2 linked regions of the Drosophila melanogaster genome follow. The protein of the gene in region 1 purifies or fractionates together with the protein of each later gene. This does not show direct contact. Each region holds a gene or a part of one and is shown on either strand. Other genes may lie near its edges. The genes, in order: COX4 and levy.

Region 1 (10,454 bases):
TGTCATAGTTGGGTTGCTGAAATAGTTCAATCGTCAATCGGATTGTAATACTATGTGTAACTACTTATAAAAACACTTACACGAATGGGGAAACCGTTGGATCGGGGAGGGATCTGAGGATAAAACGGTCGAGGTTGGAAGGGGATAGGTCGGAGTGGAACGTCCTCCTCTTCGTAGGTGTCGGTCACCTCCTCCACTTCACCGCTAGATCTCTTCAAGGATAATAAATATATATTTATTTCCATTTATATTAAGTGTATTGGATGAGACTCACCTCTAGAAACTCGACATCGTTATTTGCTTCGGCCAGGGCAGAGCTGTTTCCGCCATTTAAGGATGATCTATTAGAAATAGGTTTGTTGCTCGATTTCGGACTCACTGGCTTGAAGAGATGCGTGGGAATGTTGATAGTTTCACGAGGCACCCTTAGCTGTGGATTATGGAATATTGCAAAGAAGATACTATCTAAATTGTTTGCTAGCAAACTTACCTTGGGATCCGGCAGAGTGTGGCATATCTGAAAATATAGAACTCATTGAAGCCTAAATTGTGGAACAAACCGATGAATAGTTACCCCCTGAGCGATGAACAGACAGCCCAGCAAAACGAATTGGAGCGGCAACATCTCGCAGATCTCGACTGACACTCACGTCTCGAACTTCCGACGATCGACAGAACTATGAGTTGACTGGGTGGAATGCGCTGCAATTAAATGCAACCACGATCCCAACCCGTTCGACTGGAAATCACCAAGGTGAGAGCGTCGGGGCCCGGGGTTATCAGCCTGGGGATTACACGATAGGGAAATCAGAAGCCCATAACTCAATCTCATATGCGCAAATCATCAATTATCATTTTCCCGAATCTAGGAGCCTTTAACTTACTTACTAGTTCTTAATGCACCGAAAGAAAACTCCAAGCAGTCCCACATTCAGTGAAGAACCTTGTACTCAGATTTACACGATCGAAAGCATTAAATATTATATGCAAATATTAAAAACTCATGAAAATATAATCTAAAAGTTGTTTATTGTGTTAGGAAGTACATTTCAAGATTGAAATAAAACTAAGATATTATTGACTATCTGGACTCGGAGATTTTTCACAGTATTTATCGGAGAGTGTTAGTAGAGTCCGTAGCCGTAGGGCGAACCATATCCGCCTCCTGGACGCGGAAAGCTGGGCACAGAGATCACTGGTCTTCGGGGAATCAAATAGACCTGCGGGTAGCTAAATCCTGGTGGCTTCAGAGCCACATCCTCGTCCTTATCCTTTTCACCAGACTTGTCCTTGGGCTTATCTTCGCCGGAGTCTTCTTCGTGATCGTGATTGTGGTTGTGGGGGTATCCGAAACCGGGACTGGGAGGTCCGTATCCTGGGAAGCTGGGCCAGTTACGAGGCTGAGGGAACACCTGGGGTTGGTAGGGCGAGTACGGTGATCTGAAGGTCGGATAGGAGGGATATCCAGACAGCTCCGGCGATTCCTTGTCCGCATCTTTGGCAGTGGGCGGTGTGGTCGATGGAGGAGTAAGCTTAGGTCCCGCGGCAGAGAATATCACTCCTGGATGGGGGTAGGGATACTGAATGGGGTAGGGATAGGGGTGAGGATGCGGATAAGAATGGGGATGAAAGTGGGGCTCATGCTTATGGGGCTTTGGCGTTGTGGTGGTGGTCGTCGTAGGGGTCGTGGTTTCCGGTTCCGGAGTGGTGGACTCTGGAAGCGCAGATCCATCATTGTTTTGTTGCAAGCCATCATCCAGTTGACCCAGTCCGTCATCGGGAGCAGCGGTGGCCTCACCCTCCTGCTCTATTGCGGGCTTCGTGGTGGTTTCTGGCTTTGGAGTTGTGGTTTCCGGCTCGGGAGTGGTGGTGGTCACCTTCTTGTGGGGATGATGAGGCTGATATTGGGGGGGCAGGTGGGGCTCCGGCAGATGCGTATCATCGGTAGTCTCCTCTTCGCTGTAAAGCGAGGCATCGATTTGCTTTTTAGCCTCGTCGAGCGACAACTGAGCGTAACTCAGCGCCAGCAGCTAGAATTAAAATGTATGTTAAGTTAATCATAGTTCGAGCCATTTTGTCCTGGCCAAGATCTGGCACCAACCTGGCTAATTAGAAGCAACTTGATGAACATCCCAACCGACTGAGTTCAACTAGCAAGGGCCAAGCGAAAACTGATTGTTCTCTGCCGGCCATAGCTGACTTATATAGCTCCAGAATCGCCCACCATTATGGAAATCGGTAAGCCAACAATTACAGACAGCCCCAGAGCAATCAGCTCTCTATCTCTCTCGAAAAACCCGATTGGCATCAGGTGTTGGATGCGTCTGCCGGAATTTCCCGGACTGCGTTCGCAAATTAAAGATCGCCATCTATCAGTTGGTCACTAAGAGAATTAGTTCTGCCCGCAGAACCAGGCAGCGATTCCCGCAATCAATTTAGAACTGCTCCAATCGATTCCACCTGCGCAGCGACTATAAAAGGTGGCTTTGCCCAGTCGGCGCTTCTGGTTTCGACGCAGTATAGGTACACATACTATGTGTCAGGTGTGACGATAGGCATGGCGAAACTTGAACTGAAGCTGGTGAGTGCCAATGGGGCATTCCCTCATTATTGCACATAATCGAACGTTTCTTTGTTCTAGATTGGAATCGCTATATTCTTGGTAGCCGCGCTCGAGGCTCAGGAAACCCCTGCGGCTGAATCATCTCCAGCGTCCCCAACAGATGGCGAAACGTCTCCAGTTACAGAAGCCAGTTCCATCGGAGAATTAACTCAGACCACAGAAGCGGGGTCGGAGGTCACAGAATCACCAACAAATAGCACCGATATGGTTAATAGCACGGACAACCCAGACCCGAACGGCTCGCCTGACCCTGAAAATGGAGGAGATCCATTTGTGAAGCCAGGAAGCCATATAAAGGGACCTCGACACGTTAGAGCACATGATGGCTTCCACAGCCTGAAGACGGAGAAGCATTGGGCAAGCTGGAACGATGCCTTTACCACGCCACGTCCCTAGCTCATATGTATATCCCATTATACCCTTTCGTTTTGTGACCAATCTCTGAAGATTATTGAATAAAAAACTAAATAATTTTAATATATTCCGTCGAAATTCGGGAACACCCTATGTGGTTTTACCAAGAACTTCACAGATGACGAATTGAATTAGTCGCCAGTCTATTGTTTCCCAATGCGGTTGATTTTTTTCTGCTTGGTAAGTAGAGATAAAGAAATAGTAACATTTTTATCGTATATATTATATTTTCACATCAGTGCCTCTTTTTGTCCCTGGAGCTAGTAGTGCCCAGACATGTCGTGGGCCACGATGGATACCACAACATCGAGAAGGAAAAGCGCTGGAAAAACTGGCCAGCACGTGTGAGGCACCACCATAAACAACGTAACTCCATCTGATGTCCGACAAGGTTGGGATTGCACGCGATTACTTATGGCCCGTTGCAAAGTCGTTCACAGGGCCATAATGCCTCGGATCTCGCCAGACAATGGGAAGCGGAAGCCTTGTTCATCATATCAATGGATCACTGCTTAATTGAACATTTCCACTGTTCGAATGTGTAAATAATAAATTGAATCGCATTAATTGTTGCTATCCAAGCGATATACATTTCAAATGAGGAGAAATGGATTTTATAAATATAAATTGACCCTTTCTTTAGAATGAGTAACCCCCTTTTAAAAATATGTTGTTTTTTTTTCTATTTTGAGATAAGTGACTAATGGGAAATCGATTGGTTCCATAATACATCTCAGCCCACTTAATTGTGATTTAACGTATAAGTAATTTGTCACTCCACAAACTACAGCCATGGGACCAAGGCTCTATCCCGCTGCGATCCTCATCCTCCATTGCCTGCTGTTGCTCTTCCTCCAGGTGGACAGCAGAGGTAACCAGAACCACACCCAGATGGAAAGACAGCGTCATCTCCGAGCACACAATCTGCACAGGCCTCCATACGATGGATACGATTGGCACAAACAGTAAGATACAGATTCGATCGAGCTGAAGGATATATACACTTTCGAATGGCACCAACCTTTCGCTTTCAATAGCTTTAACCGAGATGCCGAACCAAAGGCGACAGTTGCAAAGGAGAAAGAAGAGAAGACTTTCAAACACAGATCAGGACATTTAAAAAAGATGAAGCAGACAGCTAGGGATATTTCGAACTGGAGGTAGGTGCATCATCTGCATCAAGTATGAATGCTCTGAGATCAAGGAATGCCTGACTTCTTTTCAGCAGAGCTCGGAGCGCCTACCAAAAAGAGACGGCAGAGCTGGAGGAATGGGGTCGAAAGAAGAATATAACTGACAACGAACTGAAGTTATTCTTTGACGGTGAAATTTCTACCAAAGACAAGTACAGATTATTTGGGGACATTCAAACGGTTGTCCAGATCCTGAAAGAGGTGATAAAAAAGGGAGCTGTGTAAGTAGTGTTCGCCTATATGTCTGGCAATGCCTTTGAAATCCGCCTTTTTAGGACCGAAAAAGAGAAAGCAATGATAACGCCGGAACTGAAACCATTGATCTTAAGATTCGGCCGCATGTTTGAAAGGGAATTTGCCAAGAACACAAATGCCTTGGAAGCCTTGCAGATCCTTGTTCATGAGGTTCAAAAATCGAACAGCCGGAACATGAGACATAAGAGTGCTAAAAGGTCTCACTAAGTGGTAATTAAATTGGCTATGCCTGTGGCGATTTTAGTAACGAAAAGTTTGTAATCTACACACTAAAAGGTCTGTTAATAAATCGAATAACAATCATTGCTCTTAAAACGGATCATTGAGGCTGGTTTCCTAGCAGAAACTGATGACTGACCCAAGATCGATTGATTTAGGCAGCAGCCATAACTTTAATTTCGACTATCTTGCTTTTACTTAATACACATAGACGTCGGCTAACTTAATCACACACAATCGCGGAATTATTTAACGACAGCGCACTTAGTTCTTCCACTTCTTGTTCTCGTAGTCCCACTTGGAGGTCAATCCGGTGACGGGGTTGATTTCCAGGTCGATGATGCGCTGCAGCTGCGCCTTCTGGTGCTCCTCATCGAAGGTAACGGGCAGCTCATCGTACACTGAAAGGAAAATGCTCAATAATGGATAGCCGCAAAAGGGAACCGGAAAAATGGCTTACCGAAGATGTTCATCAGTACGGCCACCCAGATGGCGGCGGCGCAGAAGAGGAGTGAAACGCCCAGGTGGAGCTTCCACTCCCCGGATCCAGCCTGGACCTCGGCGATAGTCTGGCAGAAGCTGGCGCGGTACAGGGCCTTGATCTCCTGGGTGCTGAGCTTCTTCCAGTCTCCCTGCTCCTTGGCGCGCAGAGCGTTGATCTCGTTGGTGGGCTCACGGAAGCGCACGGCGGGCAGAGGGTAGTCCACGCGATCCGCGTAGCAGGCGGTGCCGTTCCAGCCGTAGCCAACGATCTCCCGCTTGCCGATCTTGTCCAGTGTGTGGACGGCGGCCACGCTGCCCACCTGGGCACTCTTGGGCAGCTGAGAGGCCAGCTGGCGGAGCACAGCACTGTTGAGTAGTCGCAGGGCCATTTTCTCACAGAGTCTGCAAGGTAGTAAAATGAATATCAATTTATGAGGTATCAGCAGAGGAACATAGGGTCTTGGACCCGCGATAGCCAAATTTCCCACCCGACCAGGCGGTCATCCGTGAATTCTAACGGGTTACGAATTCACCGATATATGGTGCCCACTTAGTTGGAGGTTATGTAACAGCTAGCAGAACTACGTGCCAAGTTATAGAATCTATTTCCATAAAAATCGCATTGTTTTGAGGTTCCTCTACGCCTGTCGCCATATATTTATCCCGATTTCGTGCTGTGTTTGGCATAATATCCGCATAATTCTCCCATTTTTCACAGCCATCACAGATGTTGTGTAATCGGTGGGCGGTTGCATCTACCGGAAAACGGCTTATAAACCGGTGGCAACTGGTTTTCCAATTTATGTCGGCTTGCTTATCCCGCTCGTTGTATTCAATAGCTTTGTGGTCGCAGGTACTTGATATTTTTCGCAATTAATACAATTTTTAAAGCACTTTTACCTACTTTTCTTAGACTTGCTGAACAATGTGACCAGAGGGAATATACAAAACAAAATATATATATGGATGGGTAATTATTGCTCGATATTTTGGTATTTTCATGCAGAGAAGTGTGACCACATCTCGAATGAAAAAATATAAATATTAATATATCGATATATTCAATCGCTAGCAATCGGAATTCGGCGGGGTATTTAAATCTAAATATATTAAAATAAAGAAACAGCAAATAAGGGCAACTATTATGTTTTATTTTATTTCGCAGCATGGTGAAATATTTGGTTTGGTATTTCACATTCTTTTTGTAGTCTGTCCGCGAGAAGAGAAACAACAACAAAACAATTATTGTTCGATATTATATTTTATTTTGATTTGATGTCATATCTCATAAATGCACACATTTAAATTAGACAGAGACACATAATTTGCTTTATCGTATCATATAGTTTGCTGCTTGAGTTTGTATTACATAAGATTATCTTTCGATAGGGATCTGGAGTTCGGAAATTTAGCTATTTTATCGAGGATGGGGCATTACGTATTCACTTTCGCGTATTCCTGTGTTTAAGCGCCGCTTGGCATAATAAATATGTTAATGGTATTTTGCTTTATTGGGCTTTATAAATATGCAATATGTTTGTAACAATATTTAATGATAATTACGCAAATAATTAAACTAAAGTGAAAGCTTTTTCCTTCAACTATACATCTTGTAAATTGGTAGTAGCAAAAACTTATAGCTACATTTACAGTAGAGTTAGGTATTAGTTGCGATTTAATTCATATGATCCGCCGACTCTGGGCTGGGATAAAGGGTATAAAAAGTCTAGACCGTCGGTCAGATTCACACTTAAGCATAGGGGGGACTTGGGGTTAGTTTTCATCTATATGTACAAAAATGAATTCACTCGTCTTATCTCTGTAACATTTCATGTTAGTGAAGTTTCCTTTTCTCAAGATTTGGGTTTTTCGGAAACGCAGCCGGGGTCCTTGCTTTTTGGGATGGTAGTGCTTCGTTATCAGGTTCAGTTTGTGGCTAGGACAATTTGCATTTTTAACAAGTGCGCTAAAAAGTGCAATTTACTCTAGATGGCAGGGAGTGGCTAGAAACGATGATTGGAAAGGTTGGTGACGTGGTGCAAATGGAAAACTCTTGGAACTGCTTTTGAACCTCGCTGCGAAAGTAGTGCAAGAAGTCTCATTTGTGCGGGGGCAAGGATATCTTGGGTGCATATCTTGGACCCTCAGCTGGCGTACTCCTCTCAGTTAGTTCATCTAAATTTGGCATGTACGAAGTGGTTGGTTTCTATAGCTGTTCACTCGGCTCCAGCGGAACTTTCGGGCGTAACATTCGAGTCCAGGCTGGCACAATCGGACTCCTGATCCTGGGCCTCCGAGTAGTTGGCCGCCTCCTGCAGGCGCATCAGCATGTTGAGCTGTTGACGAAACGCCTCATTAGTTGAAAATCAAAGGAGCAATATTAGTCCTGTATCTTACCAAGGGATCCTGTTGGTCACCGTTGGTTAGGGCCACGCCTTCGAGTCCCACATCCTCGGCATTGATTTGCCGTAGTGGAGGCACTGAGTCCGGACCGTATGGCCACGGATAGGAGTTCCTAATGAAGGCGGAGGGGTCGTTCCAGGCACCTCCTCGTCGTCCATAGAGCTGAACTCCCTCGCGCACCGCCTCCACCAAGTATGGCGAGAGGTGGTAGTTCCAGATGTCGGTGAACCACACCTGCGAGTCCTTCAGGTCCATTGGGCAGGCGAGGAATAGCCTCGGCCCAATGGTTACATCACTGGAGCTGTGCACCTCCAGGAATCGGTTGATGTGCTGCCAAACGGAGGGCAACCAGGCCAGCACTGCCGCCAGCTCCGGCTGCGGATGTTGCGTCTGCAGTTCCAGCTGGAAGAGTCGACGCCTCAGGAAGCGACCCAGAAAGCCTTTCACGGGCTCCATGTGATTAGCTGTGAGCACCTGTGAGCAAGTGATAAAGCAAATATGTAATGATCCAATTTGTAAGGTCCATCATCAAAACATACCCATCGGAAATTGTGGTGCAGCTGCAGGTTGGTGGTGTTGCAAGTGGCCTGTGACATGGTGCCAATGATGCAGGGCAGCTTGTTGGCGGGCCCAGCGCTCAGGAGACAGGAGAAGACGTCGCCCAAGGCGGAGGCGTGGTGCAGGTTGTCCAAAATAATCACAGAGGGAAGCTCGGAGACTCCATTGGCAATGGCAGCCTGCTCGGCAATGTGGCCCAGATACTGTCGCAGATCCTTCGAGGACTTGTGGTCAACACTAAGGGAAAATGGAAATGGAGGAGAAATAGTTATCAATCTGGAATAGATAGTGTTCTCTTTTAGACTTACTTGAATGTGGCAATGGCCTCCGAAGGATTGCCCCTGGCAGAGCGGGCTACCAGGAACTCGGCTAGTCGACGGGCCAGATAGGACTTTCCAGTGCCGCTGGGTCCGCACAGAATCAGACGTCGGTGCTCCGTGAGCAGGCTGATGTATCGATGGACAATGCTGCGCGGAATAAGGCTGTCGAAAGCCAAACTTCCCACACCCTGGAGGCAAATGTATAGGGTCCTCACGCTGCCCACTATGTAACCACAGGGCAGGAGTTCCGGGAATCCCATCTCGGGACCCCGTTTCGCCTCTCCTAGGTGGTACGAGGTAATGGAGTCCGTGTTGAGACCCAGATTGGTGCCCGGATCAATGCGCGCCACGTAGTCCTTGAAGGTCTTGCGCACCACGTAGTCCAGATTCTGCCACGTCGTCTTGCCGGATATATAGGTGCAGGCTATGACGAACTCGTTGCAGCTGGCGCTGGTATAGTTGGACTTCCTCTCGCTTTGGGATTGGCTATCCGCCTCGTGGCCATTGGCATAGAAGCCATCGAGCTCCTGCAGCTCCTCACAGTACTTGGCAAACGCCTCTGGCTGACCCAGATAACAGGCAATGGCTATCTTCTTGCCATCGCACACATCGGCCAACTCCTCCGTGGCACTGGCCATGTGCACCGGACTGGCCATAGGAGCCGCCTCCAAGGCAGGAGGCGGTGGCGTTAGGTCTACGTGGGTACTGGGACTAAGGGGTGCCACACTGACGCCATTGGGGGCCGGTGGTGGTGGTTGTTCGGGGGCCGGGGCAGGTGGCAAACAGTCCTCCTCCAGTTCAAGTTCTTCACTAAGTCGAGCTGGGAGTTCCATGGGTGGGCGACTGTTGCTGTCGGCGAGGGAGTAGCGCCTCGACACCTCAGAGCTTCCAGCCACTGATCCATTGGGACTGATGGCCTGGCCCAAGCTGGCCTCCGAACCAGCCAAGGATCGCGTGGTCACCAGCTTCTGGAGACGCTCATTGTTGTGCTTCAGGGACATCATCTCCGCCCGCATCTTGTTCATCATCTCCTTGAGGCTCTCCAACTGGGAGGCCGAGCTCAAGGCCTCCAGGCGAATATCGGTCAGGACGAGATCCTTTTCGCGCAGCTGCTTCTTGAGGTCCTCGACCACATGCTGATCCTCCTGGTCAATGGCATCGATGGGCTTGGCATTGTCTATGAGGGTGACGGTCTTGGCGGGACTGCTCTGCTTGCTATTCGGCAGGGGAGGAGCAGGTTGAGTGGCCAACGAGGCCAGTCCCAAGGGTTCACCGTGACCATTGTGCAGGGGAAGTTTCCCAGAGGCCAACTCTTGCTGCGAGTGGTTGTGATGATGATGGTGACCCACATGACGACTCGTCTTGGAGATCTTGGCATTGCGGGAAAAGGCCTTGGTGAAGCTGCTCCGCAGCCAGCCCTTCTTCTTGTTGGCCTTGTTCTTGTCCTGGGCCGCCGAGCAGCCCGAGCTGATGGAGTTCAGCGAGCACATGGAGTCGGTGCTGTGCTGGCGCTGCATTCCCAGTGGCATGGATCCATTGTTGGCATTGATGGCGCGTTGGGAACCCGAGTTCGGTGGCTTCTGATCCGAACCCGGCTGACCCAGCGCCTGACCCAGCGCCTGACCCTGAACCTGACCTTGACCCTGGGTCTGGACGCCCATGCTCTGCATGTGCGCCGTGGTCAGTCCCGCCTGGATGGACTGCTTCCTCAGCAGCTCGATGGTCTGCCGCATGTCCGTCAGCTCGCCGTCCTTTCGCTCCGCCGTCGCCGTCAACTGATGCAGTCGGTTGGTCATGTTGGACAACGACTGCTCGAAGGCGGTGACCACATGGGCCTGCAAGAAAGAAGATGAGAGGAGCGATTAGTTTGAGGTGGGTATGGATATGGGTATGGGTATGGGCTTAGGCCAGGTCTCTACAATCCATCATCGCTCGTTTTGAGCACATCTCGATCGTGCCTCGCATTCTGAGGCCGGGTGTCGCTGC
Region 2 (9,752 bases), on another chromosome or scaffold:
AAGGGCCAGGAGGAGGAAGGCGGCGAGGGAGGATTCGCTCAGAACCTGAACGAGCATGTGCCGCGCGCGGATCGGGAGGTGATCGCCCGGCTGAGGAACTCCATCCTCGCGCTGGCCAAGTGCAAGCTGATGATTTACGACACCAGCATCCAGTACGCCTACGAGGAGTCCCTGCGCTACGAGGCCCACGAGCTGCTCCAGCAGAACGCCATCTACGACATCGGCCAGCAGACGCAGGCTCGTCTGAGGGACGCGGACGAGTAGTATATATGCATATACATATATTTTATACACAAGTAGCTTAAATAGAGGTTAATGTATTTTCTACCGTCAAATGAAAAATTAACATTTCAATGGGTTCGAAATTGGTGGATTTCAAAATTGCATCAGTGGGCTAAAATCTTAAATACACTGAAAACTATCGCAAGCTTTCTGTTTAATAAAAATGTTCATTTGATATTTCCTGAATTTGTATGATAAATGTTGGTTTCCTAATAAAAAGTCAGGTTTTCTAAAATACACAAACTCTTTAAAAAAGAAAACATTTATTGCATATAAGTTAGGTTTTATTGGCGTTTAAAAAATACATACATTTTCATAGCACTTTAGTTTTAGTTAAAAGTTTCGACTTAAAATTACTTTTAGTTAAAAAGCAGCTAAAATATCGATATTTTACCAGGACGCGCACCGAGTGGCAGCACACATTAGCGATCCGGCAACGCCCTGGCGGTTTGTGCAAATGAAAAGTGATTCTGCCTGGATGATAAAGGGACTCGGCATAAATTTTTTATTTTTATGTCATCCCATATTAGTGTGACGTTGTATTTGTGACAAATACTTGATTGTGTAAAATAAAAACAAAAAGTTTCGCTAGCAAAATTCACACAGAAACATCGATATCTGCATAGTGCACATCTCTAAGCGACGCCAAGCGATTGTTTTCCTCTCATTTGTAATCTGTACGCACTTTGCAAGTGAAATTCCGCGTTTCTACCGCCGCCCGGAACGAATTACCGCCAATTGCCGATGGCCGCGAAACTGGAGGTGCGCGAGGCCATGCTGACCGAGAAGAGGGTCTGCCGCTTCTGTCTGACCGAGCAGAAGCTGGCCTCGATTTTCGAGGAGAATCCGCGGGTGAAAACAACCGCCAATCTGCCGCTGCAGATTATGGCCATCACGGCGATCGAGGTAAGCGGCTCCATCCATGGGTTCTGGCTTGCACTAACCAGCGCCACGCATAACTTGGCTAAGAAGCCGCATCGCGGGTTTCCGCATCGACTGCGAGGCGTCTTGGCTAAGTTTCCCCGCTCCAAACTGCCCCGCTTCCCTTTCCCAGCCGAATGTCCTTGAAAAGTGCGACCAGGTTACAGCCCAATTAGTTGGCTAATCATTGGGCTTTCCCTTTTTCCTCTTGTGCAAAGAAAAATGAAAATTTCTGCGATTTGGGGCAACTGTACTGCGCCACACGCACACTAGTGCGTCAACAGCTGATCGCCCTGACAGCTGTCAGTTGTTTTTGGCGCTAAATTCAAATCGAGATCATATTTAAATGCATTAATAGTTCCTTCGATACTTATATTTACGCAAAAATCATCATTTGGTTAATTTTATTAATTTCCTAAATTATAAAATTAGGAAATAAATATAAAATTTAGGAAATTAATAAAATTAGAGTGAGAAAAATCTTAATTAATCACTCTTAATAATGCTAATTTGAATTCCACTAAAGTTTCGTACAATTTCACTGATTCAGCCAACCAAGTCTTCATTGTTATCTTTTATTTCCCATATCAACGTACTCAATCTGGCCCAGACAGCTCCTGTCTTCAAACAAAGTTGCTTAGATCGAAATTACCCATCTACGTTCAATTGGGGAGATACCTTGCTATGTTTTTAATTCATTTTTATTCATATCAAATATAAATGTTTGCGTGTACATAAAAGTATGTATGTATGTATAAATCTTCATTGTATTATCTTATCTCAAATTTGTGGGTTTTCTATTGGCAAGGTCTCGCTTATGCATACGGAAGTCATCTAGTGGGTAAATGGGTAACGAATTTCGTCAATGATAAGGCCGAAATGGGCATGGGAAAGGCAGGGGAATGAATGAAAGGGAGTCGGGTGCTTCAATATCCATCGGGATAATCGCACGCGTCAGCTAAAACTAAACTTGAAGTGAATTGGAATCCAACGTGAATGATTGCGGGCGATGGTTGTACAACCTCTGTTGAAAGTTCTTCTTCGAAGGGAGATCTCTTCCTAGCCAGCCTTATTGCCGTTCGGCTTGTCGCCGAAGCGCAGTATGCGCGTCAGCATGGAGGTGAGGCACGGTATTTGCTTCTGGCGATCCATCATCGGTGTGGCGGGCACGTTCGACTCAAAGTCTAGGGCTACGCGCTGGTTAACGAATGTAAGCAGGGTGAGCAGGTCGTACTTTTTGCCATTGGCGTTCAGCTCGCGGATCAGCGATTGCATGTACCAGGAGCCATTGTTGATGTTGCGCCAGGAGAAGTAGCCTAACAGGACGAGATTGCTAGTGAAATTCACTAAAATAGTTACCTAATCATATTCCTTACCCGGAATGGTCGAGTAGGAGAAGAGAAAGTCGGCGTGTATGGGTATCTTGTAGCTCGTCGAGGACTCCCCGTCCGTCTCGGTAACGCCCTTCTCCAGAGTGATGCCTCCGTCCAAGCGATCGCCCTGGCAGGCTTGGATGAAGAACAGCTTCGGCTTGCCCGCCAGCGAGGGGCAGAAGGTGGCAGTGAAGTAGTGCCAGATGTTGTCCAGCTTGTACTGCGTATCCTTGGCGTACAGGTAGCCGTGCTCCCCGTGCGAGAGTATGGCCACCGCAAGGCAGTCGTTGTCCGTGTGGTCCAACTCGGCGGCCTTCCCCACGTGCTTCAGGATGTCCCTCAACTTGCAGTCCTTGTGCACGGACACCGCGAATCCCAGGTTTTCAAAGGCCTTTTTCAGCTCTTGGGCATCGACATTTGTTCCGGTGCGGCTCTTCAGCGAGGGTATGTCGAAGAATTCGTGGTTGAAGATCAGCGCAACTCCGCGGTGCTTGTGACTCATGTTGTATTCGCTTGCATATCGTTCCACGGGCATTCGAGCCACAAACTTGTTGGCCGGCAAGGGGCTGGGGAAAAAGAAATCAGAATTATAATAGCCATTTGGGAAGCAGCATGATAAGATAAGGTAATCGGCGAAATAATCGATGATTGGGTATTTATTTATGTAATTATTTTCAAATATATTTGTGAATAAGACTAAATAGAACAATAGAATTAAAGTCAAGTGCTTTCAAACTTTGTGACTTCAGCCATTTTAACAACATTATAAAGACAGATTGACACATTGATTTTAAATGTTGGCAATAGACAGTATAAATAATATAAAAATAATAGATTGTGGAATGAAAATGGAATAAATAAAAAAAAAAGAGCTTTATATGCTGCATTTGAAACTAGGATATAGCAGTTATGCCAGTACTTGCATTGATAACAAAACACAGAAACATAAAGAGAGAGATGGGAGAGGGAGAGAGCGAGGCACATGGACTCACCTCGCTGCAGTTGCACCACCAACAACAAGAGACTCCGGCGTACAGCCCTTGGCATCGGTATTATCAGCCATTATAAAGCTGCCCCGATTTTCCGATCCATTTGGGCTGCGAATGCCTACTCCGTAGTTTCTGGTTACGCACTCGTCGGTCATCTTGCGCCCCTTTTCTTGCTTAAGTTCTTGTTTTGATTGTTTGCGTTTCTCCTTGTGTTTCCTCTTGCCTTTTGTTCGCTCCCTCCTGCTCCTCCCTCGCTCACGCGCTGCTCTTTCCTTCCTTTTCTCTCTCCGCAGTTGTTGCGCCCTTTTTGGTCTGATTCTTGTTTTATTCTGACACTGCTTCTGTTTTCTATTGCTCTGCGTTGGCCAAACTTTGCGCAGCGCAGCTGTTTTGCGCTTCTCAGCCAGCTTTTGTCGGCTTTCGATCGAGCGAATGTCCTTTTATGGCTCACAGTCGGACGTGTTTAATCAATCAATTAACGGAGGTTAAGCGTGCTCTGAGCGGCGAAAACAAACTGCGATTGCATGTAGTCGTGTGTATGCACTTGCCGCCAAGCGGCGATGGCCGCTCGTCGATAGCACTAATCATCGATTGGTGGCCATCGATTAATTTGTAGAGGGTGTTCTGGTCCTCGGCGCCTTTGTTTAAATTTAAACTCTAACATTATATTGTTCATTTTAAGGGAAAGAGACATTTATGGCGTTTAATTTATTATGTAGCGAAAAACATATAGGGGTGTTCCACGAATATTACCTTATTATTTGGCTTAAGCACGGACTTCCCCGAATAAATGTAGCTTCCTAGTCACTCACACATTTATCTAATCTAACATTAAAAACAGGTCTACGCCGGCGACGGAATGCCGGGGCACATCTGTCTGGAGTGCCGCCTCCTCTTCGAGCACTGCTACCGCTTCAAGCAGATGTGCAAGCGGGCGGAGACCCTCCTGCGCCAGTATCCGCTCACGGGTAACTGGCCATCGCCGCTGGAGAAGCCCCGTGCGCCCATGACGATGGTGGCTTCCAAGAAGTTGTTGGTCGTGCCAGCAAAGACAGCCGAGCCAAGCGAAACGCCCAAAAAGCTGCTGAACACAATGGCCAAATCCAGTAGTCAGGTGATCATCGAGGACGTCCAGGTGCTGGAGAGCGCCATGGTGACCCCCAGGACGGTAGCCGGTTCCTCTCCAGTGCCACGTCGTTCGCACGCCTATGAGCTGAAGGTGGATAACAACCAGGAGCTGTCCATGGACGATGTGCAGAGCATGCTGGAGGATATGGCCAGTGAGCTAGAGAAGGAGTTCCCCGATATCCCCCAGAAGGCATCACCCGTCAAGCCGAAGGTGCTGAACAAGTCCTCGATTAGGATCTTGAACAAGGGACCCGCCGCTCCGGTGGAACCGCGCCTGGCCACACCCAAAGTCAAGCGAGATGATAGTGGCAATGTGGCCATAGTGACAGAGGTTCTGGACTCGGATCTGCCATTGGACGATCAAGATGATCCGACCAAGAACGCCGAGAAGGTGGCCACCGATGTGTTCCCCTGTCCCGATTGCGAACGCTCCTTTCCGCTGCAGCAGCTGCTCGAGATCCATCGGCTGAATCACACTCGCTCGCGCAGCTTCCAGTGTCTCCTGTGCGAGAAGAGCTTCTTCTCCAAGTACGACCTGGCCAAGCACAACTTTGTGCACACCGGCGAGCGGCCATTCAAGTGCGCCATCTGCTCGAAAGCCTTCACACGGAAGGCATTGCTCCATCGCCACGAGCGCACCCACACGGACGTACCCAAGTTCATCTGCGTGTACTGCGAGAAGCCCTTCCTTTCGCGCCAGGAGATGGAGAAGCACGCCGAGCGACATCAGAAGAAGCGTCCGTTCCAATGCGGTGTCTGCACCAAGTCGTTTGCCTTCAAGCAGGGATTGGAGCGTCATGAGGTGGGTTGACAAGCATATTTGGGATTGCCCCGGCTAACGATTATGTCCACTTTCAGACAGTCCACTCCACCAATCTTCCCTTCCCCTGTCAGCATTGCGAGAGAAGCTTTTCCACCGCTTCCAAGCTGGCCCGCCACCTGGTTGCCCACGCCGGGAAGAGAGCCTATCCCTGCAAGTACTGCCACAAGTCCTACATGCTGTCGCATCATCTCTCGCGCCACCTGCGCACGCACACGCAGACTTCCGACGCCTCGTTCGTGTGCAGTGAGTGCAAGGTGTCGTACAGCAACTATAACGACCTACTGGATCATGCGCTCATTCATGCCACCGCCAGCCTGAAATGTCCCATGTGTCGCAAGCAGATCGAAGATATCGACAGTGTCGAGAGCCACATGGACCAGCACAAGCAGAGCGAGCGCCATGCCTGCGAGTTCTGTGACCACATCTTCTTGACGCAGAAATGCCTGCAGCGCCACATCGAGGACGATCATGTGGTGGAAATGGAGCCGTACCAGAACGAGTTCGAAGACGACGGCGAAGGAGAAGGCGGCGTCGATGAGAAGGAGGAACATCTTGACGATTTTGAAGACATGGACAATGTGAAGCAGGAAGAATTCGTGACGGAATACTTAGAAGACGATGCTCTCTATGAGGACCACCTAGACGATAGCGACGAATCCTTCACGCCGCCGCCTCCAAAGCAGCGTAAAACCAATCCTCCCAAGGATGCCCAGCAATCCGTGCGCCAAACTCGCAGTCGGGATGCTCAAAGAATCACTCAGAAGACAGGAAAGAACGAAGGCAAGCCTCATCACAAACTGGAACGCAACCTTAAGAATCGCCGATCCGCAAAATAATGATAGTAGTTGAATATATTGCATGCGAAAAGTGCATCCGTGCTTATGCTTAAATTTAAATTCTATTTAATTGTAACTTTTAATTTTTCCTTTAACCGAAGGCCTTTTAAATAAACTCCTCACCAGAATTCCGCTGTCGCTCATTGAAATGGTCTTTATGGGATCTCTCCTCGCTCTAATTTGATCTTTATTGAAGCGCCAACTGGAGTTTGGGTATATGTGTTTTCTGTGTATTTCCGCGTAAAGTTCAGTTTACATTAACGTCTATCACTACCAAACAACGAATACATCCCGCAGAGGGAACCGGAGACGGTGGCCACCTAGTGCTCGTAGCCGTCGGGCAGGGCGTTAACGTGGGGGTTGTGGAACAGGCTCTTCTGGCCCTCACCCCAGGGGAAGCGCTTCTCGCGGCGGCGCAGGTAGTCGTACTTGACGAACTCCTGGCGGGGCTTGTCGTGCTCCTCCTGGTGCTTCAGGTAGGCGTTCAGCATGCACAGTCCCACGGCGGGCACGGCCACGAAGAAGGACAGGCGCTTCCACACCTTGTAGCCACCTGAAGGATGAGAGATGAGATGAGCATGAAAGGATGTGTTATAAGAGCGAATCCTTCTCCACCAATCGATCTTGCCCAATGGTAAATTACATAACCTTAACCTTACAAAAGGGGATGAATTTGGCAATTGGGACGCTGGACGGTCACTTACCAGAGTGCTCGCCGGCCACGGCGGCGGTGCCGGACATATTCCGGGCGGCAGAAGCGCCGAATTGGCGGCGAATTGCGTGGTTTAGAATAGCGGACATATTTTCAGTCGATTCTTGGCCCGAATGAAAATTTGCTGTTTTGACAAGTAAATAGGGATGGGCTACATCCATAATGTCGTGACTCGTTCGCTAAATTATATCGATAGTGGTTGGCCGTGATTTCTAAATTACGTACAACAAAGCTGTTAATTGGCTTAATATAAATAAAAAACAAAATAAAACAATTCTATGCCAAATTGTAAATAAGTAATTTGACATTTTTCCTTTGTATCCTCCCCTGGCTGCCGTGACACAGCTCTAGCTAATCGAGAAGTTATCGCCTCACGCGCCCACCGCTGACGATAGGTAGGTACTGTGTGTGCGGACTATCGAGGCTGGAGTCGGCTACCAATCGTCCATCCACAACAACAACGTGTCGCGTAATTATTTTCCCCTCTTGTTTATAAAATTCAGTGCATCAGATTGTAAATACACTGCACACCCTGCAAAGCCACCGCAGCATCTCGAACCTAAGCAACGAACGGGAAAATCATTATCGTACGGGCAGTGAAGCGCAGTTAACCAGGAGCAACAACCAATCCAAGTACAAAGTAGCCACAAAACGTCAGTTATTCACTAAGTGCACAGTTCGCCAGCGGACATAACGGTCGCTACACTCGGAGAAAACCACAAGTATTAAGGACCACACAGTCCACCAATCCACTAGCAGCCCACTGCCATGGCCGCCAACAACTTGCGACAAATCCCGCTGACCTGCAGTGGCCACACGCGACCCGTGGTCCACCTGGACTTCAGCGACATCTGCGACGCCGGCTACTTTCTCATCTCGGCCTGCAAAGGTAAGGTCCGCGGGATCGGGCAGCCAGTCGCATGCGATTAGCCGTCCTTGCGCGCTATTTATACACCACTTTCCGTCGTCGCACAGTGGTTGTCATAATCATACGATGGGGTTAAAATCGGAAGTGTCAGTCACTGACGAACTGGGACACAACGCAGATTCCGTAAGAATTGGATTTAACTAGTGTTTCTATATAGACAGTGTTCATTTGCAATAGTTTAATGTCTATACAGCAAGTTTCCTGGTAAAAACAGGCAGTTACTTTTGCTTATTGGTCAAATTTGTAGTATAGTTTTGTAGGAAGGGCAAATAATGTTTTACCCAGAAGGCCATGTCGAAAAACAAGTTATGTTGTCCGTGTTCTTTGACGGATCGTTATGTTCGTGGGAAAGGTGCTGCAACAGAGCGGCATGGAATCACATGAACTACAGGCGGGCCAGCACGGTGTAGCATCATGTCTAGCCTGTGGGAAACCTTGACCCAAATGCAAAGTCACTCATCGCGAGCGAAACCTGTTTTCTGCGAGTGCGAAACCCTTTTGCCTGCCGCCACTCGCATGCTACAAAACTCGCATTCTTTGCCTTGAGGTGTCAGCCAGTCGATGCGATTGCAATTGCCATGGCAGTTGCAATTCGCAATTCGTTAGCTATTGCCTGTTTTTTACAGGCACTTTGCATTCGTGGCTTTCGCAAATGTTGCTTTTATGCGGAAAGAGCGCTCGTTCCCACTGCAAGTTCAAGTTGACTTCGTTATCGCCTTTTAACGTACTCGCTTCCCCTTGTTTAGCAACTTTTCGAAACTGCTCGTTCAGGAAGCACCTTGGAACTTCTATATTTATATGCTGTGTGTATATGCAGCTGCCGTTTGTCTGCCGCCTGGAAGATTCTGCTTGCTGGATACACTCTCCCGATCCCGATCCGCTGCAATTTATTCGGATACAGCATCTAATGTGGGCTTAATTCGTGCGGTTCTCACTGCGATGAATCATTCCAAGTTTAAGGCCACAGTAATTGTATAAATTAGAATGGGAAATTACATAGTATATATTACATTATTAAGTGCTCTTGTTAGAAAACCTTTCTCTGCAAAGTTAAACTAATAGAGTTCCTATACAAAAGTGAAGTAGCAGGCAAACATTAGTAGAAGTCCTTGAAATGGCGAGAGTTGTGGGTGATCATTTATCACACACATAGAATGCATTGATGATGTAGCTCTGAACGAACTAACAAGCCGCGTCCCTGCACTGCACTGCACTGCAATGCAGCACCCTGCATCCCGATCCCGTTGAGCGCGACAGTGCAGTGCGGTGCGGTGCGGTGATAGTGACGTGAACTTGGGAGCTCGCTTGCATGATTGCGAGCGGCAGGCGGCCAGGTCGTTGGCCTTGGCGGCAGGCATTGAGTCAAGGTGGCTTCCGTGCGCTAATTTATGCACGCACGCTCGGCGGCGGGCGAAAGCGAATGCAACTGACCGAGAATCGTGTATTGTGAATCTTGCAGATGGCAGCCCGATGCTGCGGCACGGCGACACCGGCGACTGGGTGGGCACCTTCGAGGGACACAAGGGCGCCGTGTGGAACGCCACGCTGAACCGAAATGCCACCCTGGCCGCCTCCGGAGCGGCCGACTTCACCGGCAAGGTGTGGAATGCGGTGACCGGGGCCGAGATACACAGCTTCCAGCACAAGCACATCGTGAAGAGCGTGGCCTTCGACAGGGATTCCGAGAACATAGTGACTGGCAGCAACGAGAAGCTGGTGCGGGTCTTCAACCTGGAGCAGCCCGAGGCGCAGCCGGAGGA

The links.
Region 2: the proteins of COX4 (region 1) and levy fractionate together in Drosophila melanogaster (co-fractionation; one study listed by BioGRID). This does not show direct contact.

What each region holds. Positions count from the first base shown.
Region 1 is NT_033779.5:19,954,402-19,964,855, reverse strand, and holds COX4 (cytochrome c oxidase subunit 4), read right to left. Parts: upstream 6,144-10,454; 5' UTR 6,088-6,143; intron 6,025-6,087; exon of another isoform or gene 5,590-6,024; 5' UTR 5,577-5,589; coding exon 5,165-5,576; intron 5,106-5,164; coding exon 4,969-5,105; 3' UTR 4,791-4,968; downstream 1-4,790. Other genes in the region: CG10680 (uncharacterized protein), read right to left, coding at 1-16, 81-212, 275-430, 491-517, 575-625; CG16772 (uncharacterized protein), read right to left, coding at 1,125-2,030, 2,102-2,131; CG13965 (uncharacterized protein), read left to right, coding at 2,558-2,581, 2,642-3,019; CG42866 (uncharacterized protein), read left to right, coding at 3,194-3,217, 3,277-3,417; CG34051 (uncharacterized protein), read left to right, coding at 3,830-4,002, 4,075-4,197, 4,263-4,451, 4,506-4,692; sick (sickie), read right to left, coding at 7,404-7,523, 7,585-8,064, 8,130-8,385, 8,457-10,303.
Region 2 is NT_033778.4:23,545,691-23,555,442, reverse strand, and holds levy (levy), read right to left. Parts: upstream 7,205-9,752; 5' UTR 7,154-7,204; coding exon 7,057-7,153; intron 6,906-7,056; coding exon 6,673-6,905; 3' UTR 6,461-6,672; downstream 1-6,460. Other genes in the region: Rrp4, read left to right, coding at 1-264; Dcp-1 (death caspase-1), read right to left, coding at 2,263-2,519, 2,580-3,142, 3,569-3,720; pita, read left to right, coding at 1,027-1,188, 4,407-5,495, 5,552-6,352; wmd (wing morphogenesis defect), read left to right, coding at 7,833-7,953, 9,452-9,752.